Linked DNA regions of Caenorhabditis elegans. The protein of the gene in region 1 interacts with the protein of each later gene in a pairwise test. Each region holds a gene or a part of one and is shown in the gene's direction. Other genes may lie near its edges.

Region 1 (7,034 bases):
TTATTTTATTTTGCTTTTGAAAATGTGAAGCTCATAAGTTTTAAAGTATTTCCTCAGTTGAAAGAATTTAAATATCTTCAGCGGTATCAGAGATACAATGTTTTAAAGTTTAGCGCGAGATAGCGTGGAGGGAGGGGAGACGCAGTGTGTCTAACCCTCTGCGTCTCCTCTCTCCCACACTCTCTTCCACCTCAAACTTTGAACCAAATTATCTCAAAAACGGCTAAAGATATCAAAAAACTTTCAACTAGCAAAATGTTCAGTGTTAAATTTTGCATCGGAAAAAAATTTGTTTTCTGAAATTTCTGCTGGCTCAAGTAAGGTAAATGCTCAGAAATGCGCAGATATCATTTGTCTACTTTTAATTAAAAACCTTGAAAAAATAATTTCCCGTTTGGTTTAGTACACCAGAACACACCCCTGCAACGTGTGTTCCTCATATGTTTGTGTCTAGTCTCCTCCCTTTCCCTCTTCATCTCTGCGTCTCTCACCACCCCAACACTCTCTAGGTGCCTTTTTATCTCTGCGTCCTCTCCCTCTCTCTTTGTTTCACGCTCTTTTAGCCACAACAAAACAAATGTTTCTCATTTTCGACCAGTTTTTTGTGGAATTTATTTTCTTTAGTTTTTCAACTTCCGAGTGTTTTTAATTTGTTTTCTCCTGATTTGTTAGGATTTTTTAACTTTCAAAATGAATTTTTTTCTGCAAATTTCGGACTGAAAAAATACAAAAACATTGCAATTTTTTTCTTAAAAAATAATATTAAAATTAAATCCTAAATTGTAAATTTTACATGAAAATTAATCCAAAAAAAAGAAAAGTGTTGCCAAAATTAAATTGTTATTTAGATTAAAAAGAGGCAAAGATTTACCCCACAGAATTGAAACCGGTTCCGCAGAAAAATTGCCCAATTAGCGATGGGTCAAAAATCGCATCTGATCGGGTTGTTTTTGTTCGTCATGGGTACCCGCGTACCTGTGTCTAGACAATATTTGTTTCGGAAAAAAATTAGTGAAAAAAAACTTGTTTTGTGTTTCTAAAAAAAAGTGTTTCTCATAAAATCTATAAAATTCTCAAAATGGAAAAAAAGCTCTGTTAAAAATATATTAGTTAAAGAAAAAAATTTAAATTGCACGAAAATAGTTAAATTTCTTTAAATTTCTAAAAATCTACTCTGAAAAATAACCTGTTTCCCTGAAAAAAAATTCCAGAAAATTTCCAATTTTTTTCTCTCAAAAATGCTTTAAAACTCCGAAAATACAAGAAACCTTCTAAAATATTTTTTTAATATTGGAATATTTTCAAATTACACAAAAAAAAATTAAAAATGAATTTTGTTCGAAATTTTCAGAAAATCCAATTGAGCCTGTAAAACCTTTGTACACGGAAAAAACTCTAAAAATTTCCAAAAAAAAATTAAGAAACCCTTTGAAAAATATATTATTTTCCATTAGAAAATTTTAAAAATTTTATGAAAAATTTTTTTTTTTCAATTTAATTTTCTAATTTTCGAATTTTTTCAAGTTCTCAAAAACTTCTATGATATTATTTCTGAGCTTTCCGAGCAACTTTCGCAATAAAAAGTGACGTCACTCAAAAAAAAGTAGTTTTGTATTTTGTATATTTGCTGAATCACCACTGTTTTCTGTTCAAATTTCATTGGTTTTTTTTTCTCTTTCATTTTTCACGTTTTTCCATTTCTCTCCCCTACTTTCTCTATGATTCAAACACGTTTTTTAATTCAACAAAAAAAGCGAAAAAAAGTGTTGTTTGGCCTTAATCATATGTATTAAATGGTTACCATGGTAGCTATCGCAAGTAGACAGCTGAAAATCTTTGATTTCTCTGCGTCTCTCCTAATTTTTTGATCTTTTCCGTATTCCGGCCACGCAACCCTTTTGTTTGTGTAGTTAGCTGGCTGACTTATGATTTTTTGGAAAACTGGTGAAAATGTTTCGCCCATTTTTTCATTGAAAAACCATTCTTAGTATCTACTTTTTAGTGGAACCTCTGATAATATGATAAAATGGGTATATTTTAACTAAAACCCTAAGGGTATACATAATTCCAAAAACGTTATTTTTTTAAACAAAAAATTGCGAAGCACCAAAATGCTCCGTGAGCTCAATATGGAAAACACTGAAACCTAGGCAATATGGGGCTTAAATCAAAGCTCTTAAAAAGCTGAACTCAAATTCGTATTAAAAAAAAATTTAGTGATTGTGAATAAAATAGAAAATAATGTGGGTAATTTCAGACAAAATGGGTATATTTTAACTAAAACCCTAAGGGTATACATAATTCCAAAAACGTTGTCTGAAATTACCCACATTATTTTCTATTTTATTCACAATCACTAAATTTTTTTTTTAATACGAATTTGAGTTCAGCTTTTTAAGAGCTTTGATTTAAGCCCCATATTGCCTAGGTTTCAGTGTTTTCCATATTGAGCTCACGGAGCATTTTGGTGCTCCGCAATTTTTTGTTTAAAAAAATAACGCCATTGTTAATTTTTATCATAAAATTTTTATTATAAGTTCAGCTCCCTTAGAGCGTCAATTCAAGCCCCATATTGCCTAGGTTTCAATATTTTTCACGTTGAGCTCGCGAAGCATTTTGGTGCTCCACGGAAGCATGAAAGCGGAAATTTTCAAACTAAAGTAATCTATACAATATGGATGCCAAGTTTTCAAATTTTTAGTGAATTGAGCAGCAGGATTAATTACGATTTGGAGTGTTCTGTGCTCACGGAGCAACAGAGCCCTACATTAAGTTTGAGGTAGCATAGGCATTATGGGTGTCAAACTAAAGCTTTCAGCTAGCTGAATCTAGCAAGATTGAGCCCACATCTGAATTTGGTGCTCTGAGAGCCAGAAATAGAGGTTGTTTTAATCAGATTTAAAATTGTCTGTGCCGTGCACAAATTGCTTCTCCTTATTCCCCTCTAATCATTGAGTTGTATGGCGTCATTGAACTTTTGATATGTAAAGCTTTTTATTATGAAATTTGATTTCAGCTTTCAGGAGCTTGAGAGCCATATTTTCTAATTTTAAGAATGTTTAAGACTGAGCTCAATTGGTGCTCCGCGAGCTGAAAGCTTTAAAGCTGAAGTTTTGTAAATTTAGATCAAATTCGAAAACATTTTTGTGCAAGCTCACGGAGCATCTTTTTTTTCACGTCACGTGAATCACTATGCTTACCAGATTGTAGCGCTGAATTGTATCAGTTCCTGTTGCTCCGCGAGCCCATAAAAACTTTACTATTTGATTCTACAAAAAGTCTAGGTGCCCCAGAACTTTCCTCCTGCTGATTTTTATCTTGAAATTTTTTCTAAATCTACTGTGCTTTGTTCATTTTTCAAGTGTTTTTTTTTCAGAAAATAACCATGCAGCAACCAGTAATAAACCAACAACCGGGCTACAACCCACAGGGTATGAATCCAGTGCAACAATTCGAAATGCATCAGCAGCAGCACCAACAAGCAATCACAACTCAGCCAGGTGTCTTTGTGCAGCCGGCTCCTGGCTCCGTGTGGATGCCAATGCCACCAGCAATCCAAGGTGTGCCTACAGGCCTGGAGTATCTTACCTACTTGGATACAATCATGGTGCATCAAATCAAGGAGCTCATCGAGATTGTGACGGACTGGGAGACCAAGAACAAGTACGTGCTCAAGAATGCAAATGGAGAACAGTGTTACTACGCGTTCGAGGAGTCCGGATGCTGTGAGAGACAGTGCTGTGGACCGCAACGTGGATTCGTCATGCATATTGTGGATAACTTTAAGAGGGTAAGCTCACGGAGCATCTGGTTCAACAAGCTCGCGGAGCAATCCTGAGCCCAAATTTTCAGGCCTACCAAGCCAAAATTGATCCACATGCTCTGAAATTTCAAATTTTCCAGGAAGTTCTGACCATCAAGCGTGAGTTCAAGTGTTGCGGAGGTGGTTGCTGTGGATGCTTGGCATGCATCGGATGCTGCCAGCAGGAATGTATCATCGAGACCCCATCGATGGGTGTTCTGGGTATCATCCGTCAGCGGTGTGGATGCATGTCGTCGAATTATGATATTATGGATGGAGATGGAAATGTGATCTTCCAGATTGATGGTCCATGCTGTTGCATGCTTTGCGGATGTCAGGATAAGGAGTTTCCGGTAGGTGAAGTTCTAGGGTCCTGAGAGGTGTCGGCTGCAAGGTACATGCTAGCTTGTCTGATTGCAAGGTGCTGTGAAATGTCGGCCGCTAAATATTACCTGAGGCTGTGAATGTATTGAAAATCCCAAAATTTTCACCGGCCCTTTATCTGAGGTTTTGCCAGTGAGGCGTCGGCCGCAATTTACTAGGATTACTGGCCACCCGTAAAGTGTCGGCTGCTTGAACCACCTGCTTTGCTGACTTGTGCTGTGCAGCCGACACCTAGCGGCTTTGTCGAATAACCCAAGAAACAGCGGTTGCCGAGCAGCCGACACTTTGCGGGTCTGTCGGGAAGCCAGTGAGCTACCGGCTGAAGATCCTATCCCCCTAAAATGTCCGCTGCTTCAATACCCTCAAAATTTTCAGATCAAAACCGCCAACAACGGCACAGTTGTCGGCGCGATCACCAAAAAATGGGGAGGTTGCTTCCGAGAGGCGTTCACCGACGCCGACACGTTCGCCGTCAACTGTAAGTCGCCCCCGTCCATACAATCAATAATTCTTGCAATTTTCAGTCCCCGGCGACCTGGACGTCAAACTCAAAGGAGTACTGATAGGAGCCACGTTTTTGATTGTAAGTTTGGTTGCTGTAGAATTACTGTAACTTTGCTAATTTTTCAGGATTTCATGGAGTTTGAGCAACAGAGCCAAAACCGCAATAACGGAGGTTTGTGATTATCGCTTTTTGCTAACAGAAGTTTTTTTGTTGTGGAAATTATTGATTTTTGCTTAAATTATCAACTTTTGTCTAAAAAAAACTATTGATTTATGTGAAAATTATCGAATATTGAAAAAGGATTGGTGTCTTCCCTAAAATATGAATTTTCGTCCAAATTATTGATTTTTGGGATAATTATGGATTTTCGCTTGAATTATCAATTTTTTTTTGCTTTTTCAGTCTAACCGTCCGTCTGCTTAACCCTCTACCATTTGCTTTACATTTTTGCTGTGTTTTTCGGTGATTAGAGCATAATTTGGTATGCAATCCCGGTTTTTTGTCAATTGACCTTTTTTTAATTCCAGGAGCCTATTACAGTTCTTCTTAAAGGTACAGCAAGCTCCGCATGCTGCTGCCCCGATGGTTGTGATTGCAATTGTGACTGTAATTGTTAAAAGCCAACTTTTTTAAAAACGTTTTTCTTATTATTCCAACGCATTCTTCCAATATATGTATGACGTCACTTTCCTTCAGACTCCGCCCACATTTCCTTGTTAAGCCCCGCCCACTCTCAGGTCTCCAAGCCCCGCCCATTTCTTCTAGTTTTCAGTGTCTGTCCCACCCACTTTTTTCTCACAAAATTATATATCAAAAATAAATTGTTTTTGAAAAATCGATAATTCAAATAGTTTACTACATATATTGATTATTTAAAGTGTAAAATTCACGAAATGTGTATTTTTGCTCACTATGAAATGTGCTCCAAAACGCTTTGCTCCGCGAGCCCTTTGCTACAGGATCAGCTCTATTTGCAAAATTTTCAGGTTGAAAAAATGGAGCAAGAACTTCTTAACCCTGCTCCACCGGTTTACGTTGAACTGCAAGACCGAGCTGTTATTACAACTCAACCGGGAGCTCCGATACAAGCGGCTCCAGGATCCATCTGAATGGAAGCGCTCCCAGCAATTGAAGGGGTTCCCGCCGGCCTAGAGTACCTTGCATACTTAGATGAGATCATGGTGTACCAAGTGAAAGAGATGTTTGAAATATTTACCGGCTGCCCTAAAAACCAAAAAAACTCACAATCAAAAACGTGGCTCCAAGGAGCACAGCCTTGAGCTTGACATCAAAGTCGGCGGGGACTGATAATAGCCAGGGGTTATTTTAGCTTTTTTCAATTAAACCTACATAAGACGGCAAAAGTGTCCGCGTCAGTGAACGCCTCACGAAGTACACCACCCCACTTTTTGGTGATTGAACCGATGAGCTCATAGTTATCGGCAGTTTTAATCTGGAATTGTCTACGCAAGTGGCCATTTTCCTGCTGAAGATTCACCATAAAATCCTAATCTTCACAAAAGCATTGTGTACAACAGTCCGGCCCATCAATTAGGAAAATCACATTTCCATCCTTGTCCAAAACATTATAGTTAGTGGATACACAACCATGTCGTTGACGGACTGTACCCAGAAGACCTATTGAAGGAGATTCAATAGTACATTCGTGTTGACTACATTCAAATGATCCACAGAAGACACCTCCTGTTGTGACTTGGGCCTAACGCTTCCCCTGCGTCCCAACTTTGCAGATATATGACCGGTCAGGCTCACCCACTCGCCACCACTCATTATCCGCGAATACATTCACTCTCCGTTGTCCTTTTCCGTTTATTATCTATTAATAATAATTCCCTTTTGAATTACCGCCATTTGCGTATTTCCCGATGCAAGCGCGCTCCTCCGAGACCTCCCGTTACTCCGGAGCGTCGTAGCTCCGTAAATCCACACAATAATTCTATCCTACTTTTAGGCCAATCGTTCATTCTGTTCTACCTTCACCAGACGAGTCAGCGGCTACCCATCCGCAGACACTGTGATTCAGGACCTTTCTTCACCATTTCCATCCTGATAATCACTTTAATTCCTATTTATATCCTCTGAATAAACTGGAATTCGTCTGAAACTGTGTACTGTTATTCTCTCCGCACCGCTTATCACCAATGCCGCTCGAACATTGCTCCGTGTCTCTCCGCGCGTATCAGAATACGCTCGGTAGGGTGACTGACTCCCCTCTACTGGTCCCGAGTGTCAACATTGGTGCATCGACCGTTGCAGCTCTTGATTTTCACTAAAAAATCGAGCTGTATTAAGAATCTGGAGTCAGGCGGAGACACGCGGCGC
Region 2 (6,977 bases), on another chromosome or scaffold:
AAAAATTGAAAATTGGCTTATTTTTCAGGAAAAAATAAATATTTTAGGGTTTTAGGATTTAAAAAAAACTATTTTGCATTGGAAAATTTGGTAAAAATATGTGTTTTTTTTATAGAAAATTGTGTCGATTTACGCAGATCGTGTACTCCCCGTGGAGAAGTTTGCACTTTTTTCTGTTGAAAAAACAAGTAATTTCAACATCGATTTTTTTCCTTCAAAATCTACAATAAAAAGCGAAAATTATCGCAATTTTTTGCAAAATAAAGAAGCAAAAACTTCTTCACTAGGAGTACACGACCGGCGTAAATCGACACCAAATTTTCCGGCTGATAAATCGAAAATCTCTGAATTTTCCACGATTTTAAGAGGTCCAAAATCAAGCTTTTCGAGCCAGAAACTCCTGTTTCCCTTCTTTTTTTCGTTCCGAAGTTACAGCGATTATACCTTAATCGGAGCATCTCTAAAGAGCTCATCAACCTGTTCCTCGGAATATCTCTCGCCCATCGTGGTGAGCAACTCGCGAAGATGCTCCTCATTGAGTTTTCCCGAATTATCCTCATCGAAGCATTGGAACGCATTCCGTATGACTTCCTCCGGATCCGTTCCAGTCAATTTTTCACCGAAAAGTGTCAGGAACATTGTGAAATTGATCGGCTGTGCTCCGGGAGCCTCGTTAATCATCGAATCGATGAATTGTTCGGTGACTTCTTTTCCAAGGGAAGCGAACATATCCTTCAGATCCTCTTGATCGATGAATCCATCGCGGTTTTGGTCGATCATGTTGAATGCCTCCTGAAATTGAATTTATTTTAATTGTTCTTTAAAAATTCCGCTGAAACCAATGGATTTTTCGTCTTTTTAAATTTTTATTTTTTCGAAAAAAAAAACGAAAAATGAGGCTGTCACCTACTTTGAACTCTTGAATTTGAGCCTGATCGAACATGGCGAACACATTGGAAGTGGCTCTTTGTGGCCGTTGACGGCGGTTTACGGTTTTGCGGGAGGCCATGGCTTACTGCAAAAATTTGAAAATTTGCGATTTTTGAGGAAAAAATAAGGTCTCGACACGACAAATTTATGTTAAATACTAAAAGGTGAGCGCCTTTAAAGAGTACTGTAGTTTTACTAATTGGATTTTTTTTCTCGAAAAATCAATGAAAATTCGGGAATACAGTACTTTGAATTTAATGAAAATTTGTCGTGTCGAGACCTTTTTTTGATGCAAAAAACGTCTAGACTCCTCGAGGAAAAGAGGAAAAAAGTTTCCGTTGTTTTTTTGTGAGAATTTCAATTTTTGGCCGAAATTTTGATAATTTTTGCAAACTAATATTGTTTTTAGCATTGAAATCGCTAATTTATCGTTTATTAGCAGTATTTTTGAAACGAAAATTGATATTCTCTCAAAAAACGATGAAATATGAAGATGGTAGAAACCAAAAAAATGTGAAAAAAAACTGAAAAGATGCGGGGCGTGGAAAATATTATTTGATAACGAAAAAGCGGTGAGTCACCGCCGCAAAAAATGTTTTGTTTCAGTTTTTTTGTTTCCTATTACGATTGGAAGCGAGGTTTTCGAAGGAAATATTGATTCTCAGCGTTTGTCGCCTTGGAAAGGGGATTTGAACCGAAATATGACACATTTTTGAGGGAAATGACCGAGAAACGGAGAAAAGATTAGAATCTAATAGGCGGAGGGCATATTTAGGATGTCAAATGAGGAAAAACGGAGCGTAAATTATTTAAAATTTGCACTTTTTCGTTTTTCGGCAAAAAAAACAAGGAAAATCAGTTTAAAAGTTCCGGAATTTTTTTGCAAAACTTGGAAAAATCATCAATTATTTTCAATTAATGTTAATGTCAGGGGTGGGCGGCAAATTGGCGGAATTGAAATTTCCGGCAAATCAGCAAATTGCCTATATGGAAATTTCCCGCAAATCGGCAAATTGGCGGAATTGAAATTTCCGGCAAATCAGCAAATTGCCGGAGTTCAAAATTTCCGGAAAATCGGCAAATTGCCGGTATTAAAATTTCTGGCAAATCGGCGAACTGCCGGAAAAACGACAGGTGCCGAAAATTTTCGGCAAAATGTGGTTTTGCACCTTTTTTTGGAAATTTCAGAATTTCAATTTAAATCGGCAAAATTGTACGCACCCTATGAATGTTCCTACGTCTATTTTGAAAAATAAGCAACTTCTATGAAAATTTCTTTAAAAAGCGGGATATAAATTCCAAAAAGGCAGTTTTAAGTGGTTCCGTCTTATAAAAAGTGCCTCTACACATTTCCGGCAAATCGGCAAACCGGCAATTTGGCGATTTGCCGAACAGCACTTGCCGCCCACCCAATTCCCGGTATAAAAATGTAGATTGTTTAATATTTTCCCCCGGCCAAAATTCACATTAAATGCGACGAAATGCAATTTTTTTTTCCTCAAAACTGTAGCAGAAAATGGAGAATTCTCTCCGGAAAGCAGAAAAAACGTTATGAAGTGATTCACATGACTGGCAAACATAACATAAACGGAAAAGAGCGGAAAAACAATCGATATTCTTCGGAACGACGGGAGAAGCAGTGAAGAGAGTGAAGAGACGGAGAGAAGACAGTTCCCATTCGTTGTGTATTTATACGGAGACAGTTCCTTTCGAATGTGTGTGAAAGGACATTGGAATGAGGAGGTATATATGATGACTTGCCGATAAACAAGATATTCCGACGGAATACGGAATACGATTTAATTTCTGGGAGGTTTTGGGAACGGAATTTGGGGTCTAAACACTATGAAATACCGAAAAAATGGTTTTTTAAATTTGAAAGTACGCCAGTTTTTGCCCTAAATGACAGAAAAAATCCTCACTATACAGGACATTACTGCTGAAAAATTAATAAAGATTTCCTGAATTTTGTTTGATTTTTTAATTTTTCCAACAAAAAACCGAATAATTTTTGAATTCCCGCGCAAATAAATGTTTTCTAGATCGGTTTTTCTAGATTTTTCATTATTATTTGATTTAAAACATGATTTTTCGAATTTTAAAGAGTTTTTCCGTTTAAAAAACGCTATGACCTCGAAATAAATACACTGAAGCTTCAAAAATTCCGAAAAATGCCAGAAAACAAGTTTTCTAGACGAAAAAACTTCTGAAAAACTGAAAATTAATGAAAAATCGAGAAAAACCAACGATTTTAGCCAGAAACACGAAATTCGAAAATTCAAAAGTATAAAAATATTCCTTAAAATCGATAATCTCCTAGTTTAATCAATAATCTTCAAAAAATTCTAAACATAAATTTCGCAATGCTGCTTTTTCAAATGACTCATGACTCATCGCGCCAGCTGCGCAGCTCTATTCCATGTTTTTACAACAAAAAATCGATTTTTCTGGCAATTTTCAGTTTTATTATATAATTTTAAGCCCAATAGTCAATAATTTCAAAGAAAACGCACTTTAAAATCATTTTAAACAAGAAAAAATCGATTTAAAATGAGAAAATATGGCTGAAAAACGTTTGAACACAATTCCAAAGCGCGCCAAGTTAAAGGCGCATGCCATTTTGCGGCGAAGATATCTTGCCACGAAAGGCTCTATTTGAATTATTTTCGTCGGCTTTTCGCATATTCTCTCGCTTTTTCTTCGGTTCTGCACGCTTCCACTGATTTTTTCGAGGTTTTTCATTGAAATTATTGATTTTTGACAACTAAATTAGCCTAAAATCAATTAGAAACGCTTTATAACCTGATAATCTTGATTTTTAGCTCGATAAAAACTTGCATCATTTTTGGAAAATGTAATTTTCTATTTTTTTCTTCTTTCAGGTAAAATGAACACTGCTTCCCTTGTTCGCTCCCTGTCCCGAGTGGCTCTCCGTTCATCCCAGGTCGTCAGAATGGCCGCTCCACGCCATTTCTCACAATCGGCCAAGGTTCTGTCAGTAACGCCAGAACTTCAACAGGCCCTGAACCGTGAGATCGAAGCCGAGCAACAGCTGAGCAGCGACAATCTTCAAGGAGCCGTTGCGCCGACATTTGCTGGCTTCCAAGTCACCAATAAGGACGCCGAAGTTAGGCTGACCAAGAAGAATGGAAGCGAAGAGTTCGTTTTTTTCAGAATTTTTCATAGTTCTAAAGTTAATTTTTTTAAAGCATTCTCGTCGTCTTCAATGTGAACCACTCTGTCGATATGGACGAAGGATTCGACGATGAGCCATCCCAGGCCGTCGCTCCAGTTCCAGTAGCCATGCCACCATTCACCGTCGAGATTACCAAGGGAGATCAGAGACTTTGCTTCCATCTCGAGCTTGTGCCAGTTGACGATCAACCTGATGAGTGTAATACTCGATTTTATCGAAAACTCGAATAAAATATATACTATTTATAGATGATTTCCGCGTCGAAGAGTTCTACGTCGCCCCATCTGCCAAGAATGGAAACGAGGACGTACCATCCGAGGTGTACGCTAGCAGTGGAAAATATATCGATCCAGTTAGTAGTCCCAAGAGGACCGCAAATTATTGATTTTTTCTAATTCCAGGACCTCCACGATCTCCTGTTCGTTCGTTATTTGGAAGAACGCGGTCTCGATGCTCGGTTCTGCAAGACTCTCGTCGCCTATGCCACTCACTACGAGCACTCTCAATACGTTGGACTTCTCGACAAGATCAAGAAGTTCATCTCCAAATAGATTGCTTTCTGAAATTTTTTCAATTGTTTTGTTTTTTCTGTCTTTTATAACTTTACTGTTGACGTTTTTAGGTAATCTAAATAAGTAGCACATTTTCTTTCAGCTCGTTTATTTTCCTTAGTTTTTTGTTCTGTTTTGAGGTTTCTCTCCTCCAAAAATAATAAACCCATTGTTTTTTTCTTCTTTTGTAGTTTTCCGCATCCCAAATTTTTTGTAAATTAACTATGTCTTTGCTTTATCTAATTCCGCGTTTTTTCCTGAAAATTAAAAAATCAATAAAGCCTCATTTTCAGATTCCAAAGAAATGAGCGAGGAGAATGTTCAAGAGTTCGTTTTGAAAGAGGACTGTGAGCTGAGATTTGCCGCCGGAGACGATTCGGATGTCTGTCTGGAGCTCGTCAAGGGATACGCTGAAATTTTTGGCACAGAACTGCTGTTAAATAAGAAATATACATTTCCAGCCAGTAAGTTTTCCTCGAAATCTGGATTTTTTTTCAACTTTTCAAAAACTCCCGTTTTCTGGCTATATTTATTGCTCTTTCTCCGTTTTTTTTCTGTAATATTTCGCTTGAAACACTGTTTTCCTAATGTTTCCGCAGAAAAAGCACAAATTTCTGTGAAATTATCGACTTTTAGGTCAATTTCCAAGTTTTAGCGTGTTTCTTTGCGGTTAAAGTAGAGAAATTCGCTGAAACTTCATCTTGAAACTTGGCCTAAAAATCGATAATTTCAGATGTAATCATTTGTTTTATGCGGAAAAGTCTGGAAAACAGTGTTTTAAATCAAATATCACAGAAAAAAATTGAGAAACACCAATGGATTTGGCCATAAAAGTCAATTTCGGCCCATTTTCTGCCATTTAAAACCCAATTTTTCCTCAGAATCTCGTGTGGCGGCGTTCACGTGGAAAGGCGCCACAATTGAGCTCGTCGGCACAACCGAGAGCGCATACGTTGCCGAGAGCACTCCGATGGTCATTTATCTGAATATTCACGCAGCTATGGAAGAAGTTCGGAAGAAGAGAGAGGAACAGGCGGCTGGAAACTCGAATAAGGCAAAAGGACCGAGATTGCTGTTGGGTGAGCTGATTCTAGGCTTTTTTTGGAGATTTTTCGTCGAAAAACTGAAAATTTCTGTGGTTTCTGCAGGAAAATCGAGTAAAAATCATTTGAAATACTGGAAAAATCAATATTTTCAAGGGGCGGGGGCTATTTGCAAGCCTGGCACGGTTGTTTTGCAACCGTGCCGCACGGCCCGCCCACCTTTTTATTTTATTTTTTTTCGGAATTTAAGTAATTTATTTTTATGTTTGGCTTCGAAAAATGTAGAAAAAACCTTGTTTTCCGGTTTTTTACTGATTTTTAACCCAAAAAATAATTAATTTTCCAGTTGGACCAACGGACGTCGGAAAAACCACAGTCTCCCGTATTCTGTGCAACTATTCGGTTCGCCAAGGACGTACCCCGATATTTGTGGAGCTCGATGTCGGTCAGAACAGCGTTTCGGTGCCCGGAACAGTTGCAGCTGTTCTTGTACAAAAAACAGCCGACGTCATTGATGGATTCGAGAGAAATCAGCCGATTGTCTTTAATGTAGGCTTTAAATTTATCAAATAATTCACAATTTTTCCCAATTTTTTCCAGTTTGGGCACACTTCTCCGTCGGCAAATCTATCTCTCTACGAAGCATTGTTCAAAGAGATGGCAACTACACTAAATGCACAAATTCAGGAGAATGATGAAGCCAAAATCGGCGGAATGATCATTAACACCTGTGGATGGGTTGATGGGGAAGGGTTTGTCGTTTTTTTCGCTGAAAATCTGTTTAAAATAGCTCAATTTCAGATACAAATGCATTGTAAAAGCGGCATCGGCATTTGAAGTCGACGTGGTTATTGTGCTCGATCACGAGAGGCTCTACAGTGATTTGAGTAAAGAATTGCCGGAATTCGTCAGAGTATGTCGCGAAAATCCTTGTTTTTTGTTTGAAAGTTAATCATTCATTTACAGCTCACACATGTTCCAAAATCCGGTGGAGTTGAACAACGAACCGGGCAAATTCGTTCGAAAATGCGCGGAGAAAACGTTCATCGGGTAGGTTTTGTCCTCAAAATTCGAAAAATAAAGTTTTTCCAAAAAAATCTTTGATTTGCACTAGAGACATCGACAAAAATCAGCTTTTCAGAGCTGAAATATTCGAAAAATGAATATAAATTGAAGGGGCGGAGCTTATTTGCAAGCCTGGAACGGTTTTTCCGCAGCCCTGCCGCACGTGCTAAAAGGCTCCGCTCTATGAAATTT

What was found. The genes of interacting proteins can lie anywhere in the genome.
Region 2: the proteins of scrm-1 (region 1) and cri-3 interact in a two-hybrid assay, tested with the Caenorhabditis elegans proteins (2 studies listed by BioGRID).

The regions. Positions count from the first base shown.
Region 1 is NC_003279.8:11,687,173-11,694,206, reverse strand, and holds scrm-1 (Phospholipid scramblase), read left to right. Parts: upstream 1-3,376; 5' UTR 3,377-3,385; coding exon 3,386-3,790; intron 3,791-3,903; coding exon 3,904-4,155; intron 4,156-4,561; coding exon 4,562-4,664; intron 4,665-4,710; coding exon 4,711-4,769; intron 4,770-4,816; coding exon 4,817-4,862; coding exon of another isoform or gene 4,863-4,870; exon of another isoform or gene 4,871-5,093; coding exon of another isoform or gene 5,094-5,098; exon of another isoform or gene 5,099-5,218; coding exon 5,219-5,241; 3' UTR 5,242-5,525; downstream 5,526-7,034.
Region 2 is NC_003281.10:3,392,773-3,399,749, forward strand, and holds cri-3 (Conserved regulator of innate immunity protein 3), read left to right. Parts: upstream 1-3,812; 5' UTR 3,813-3,817; coding exon 3,818-4,089; intron 4,090-4,139; coding exon 4,140-4,324; intron 4,325-4,374; coding exon 4,375-4,478; intron 4,479-4,527; coding exon 4,528-4,677; 3' UTR 4,678-4,855; downstream 4,856-6,977. Other genes in the region: mlc-4 (Myosin regulatory light chain), read right to left, coding at 445-792, 911-1,009; Protein clpf-1, read left to right, coding at 4,982-5,141, 5,559-5,756, 6,067-6,269, 6,321-6,472, 6,522-6,633, 6,687-6,770.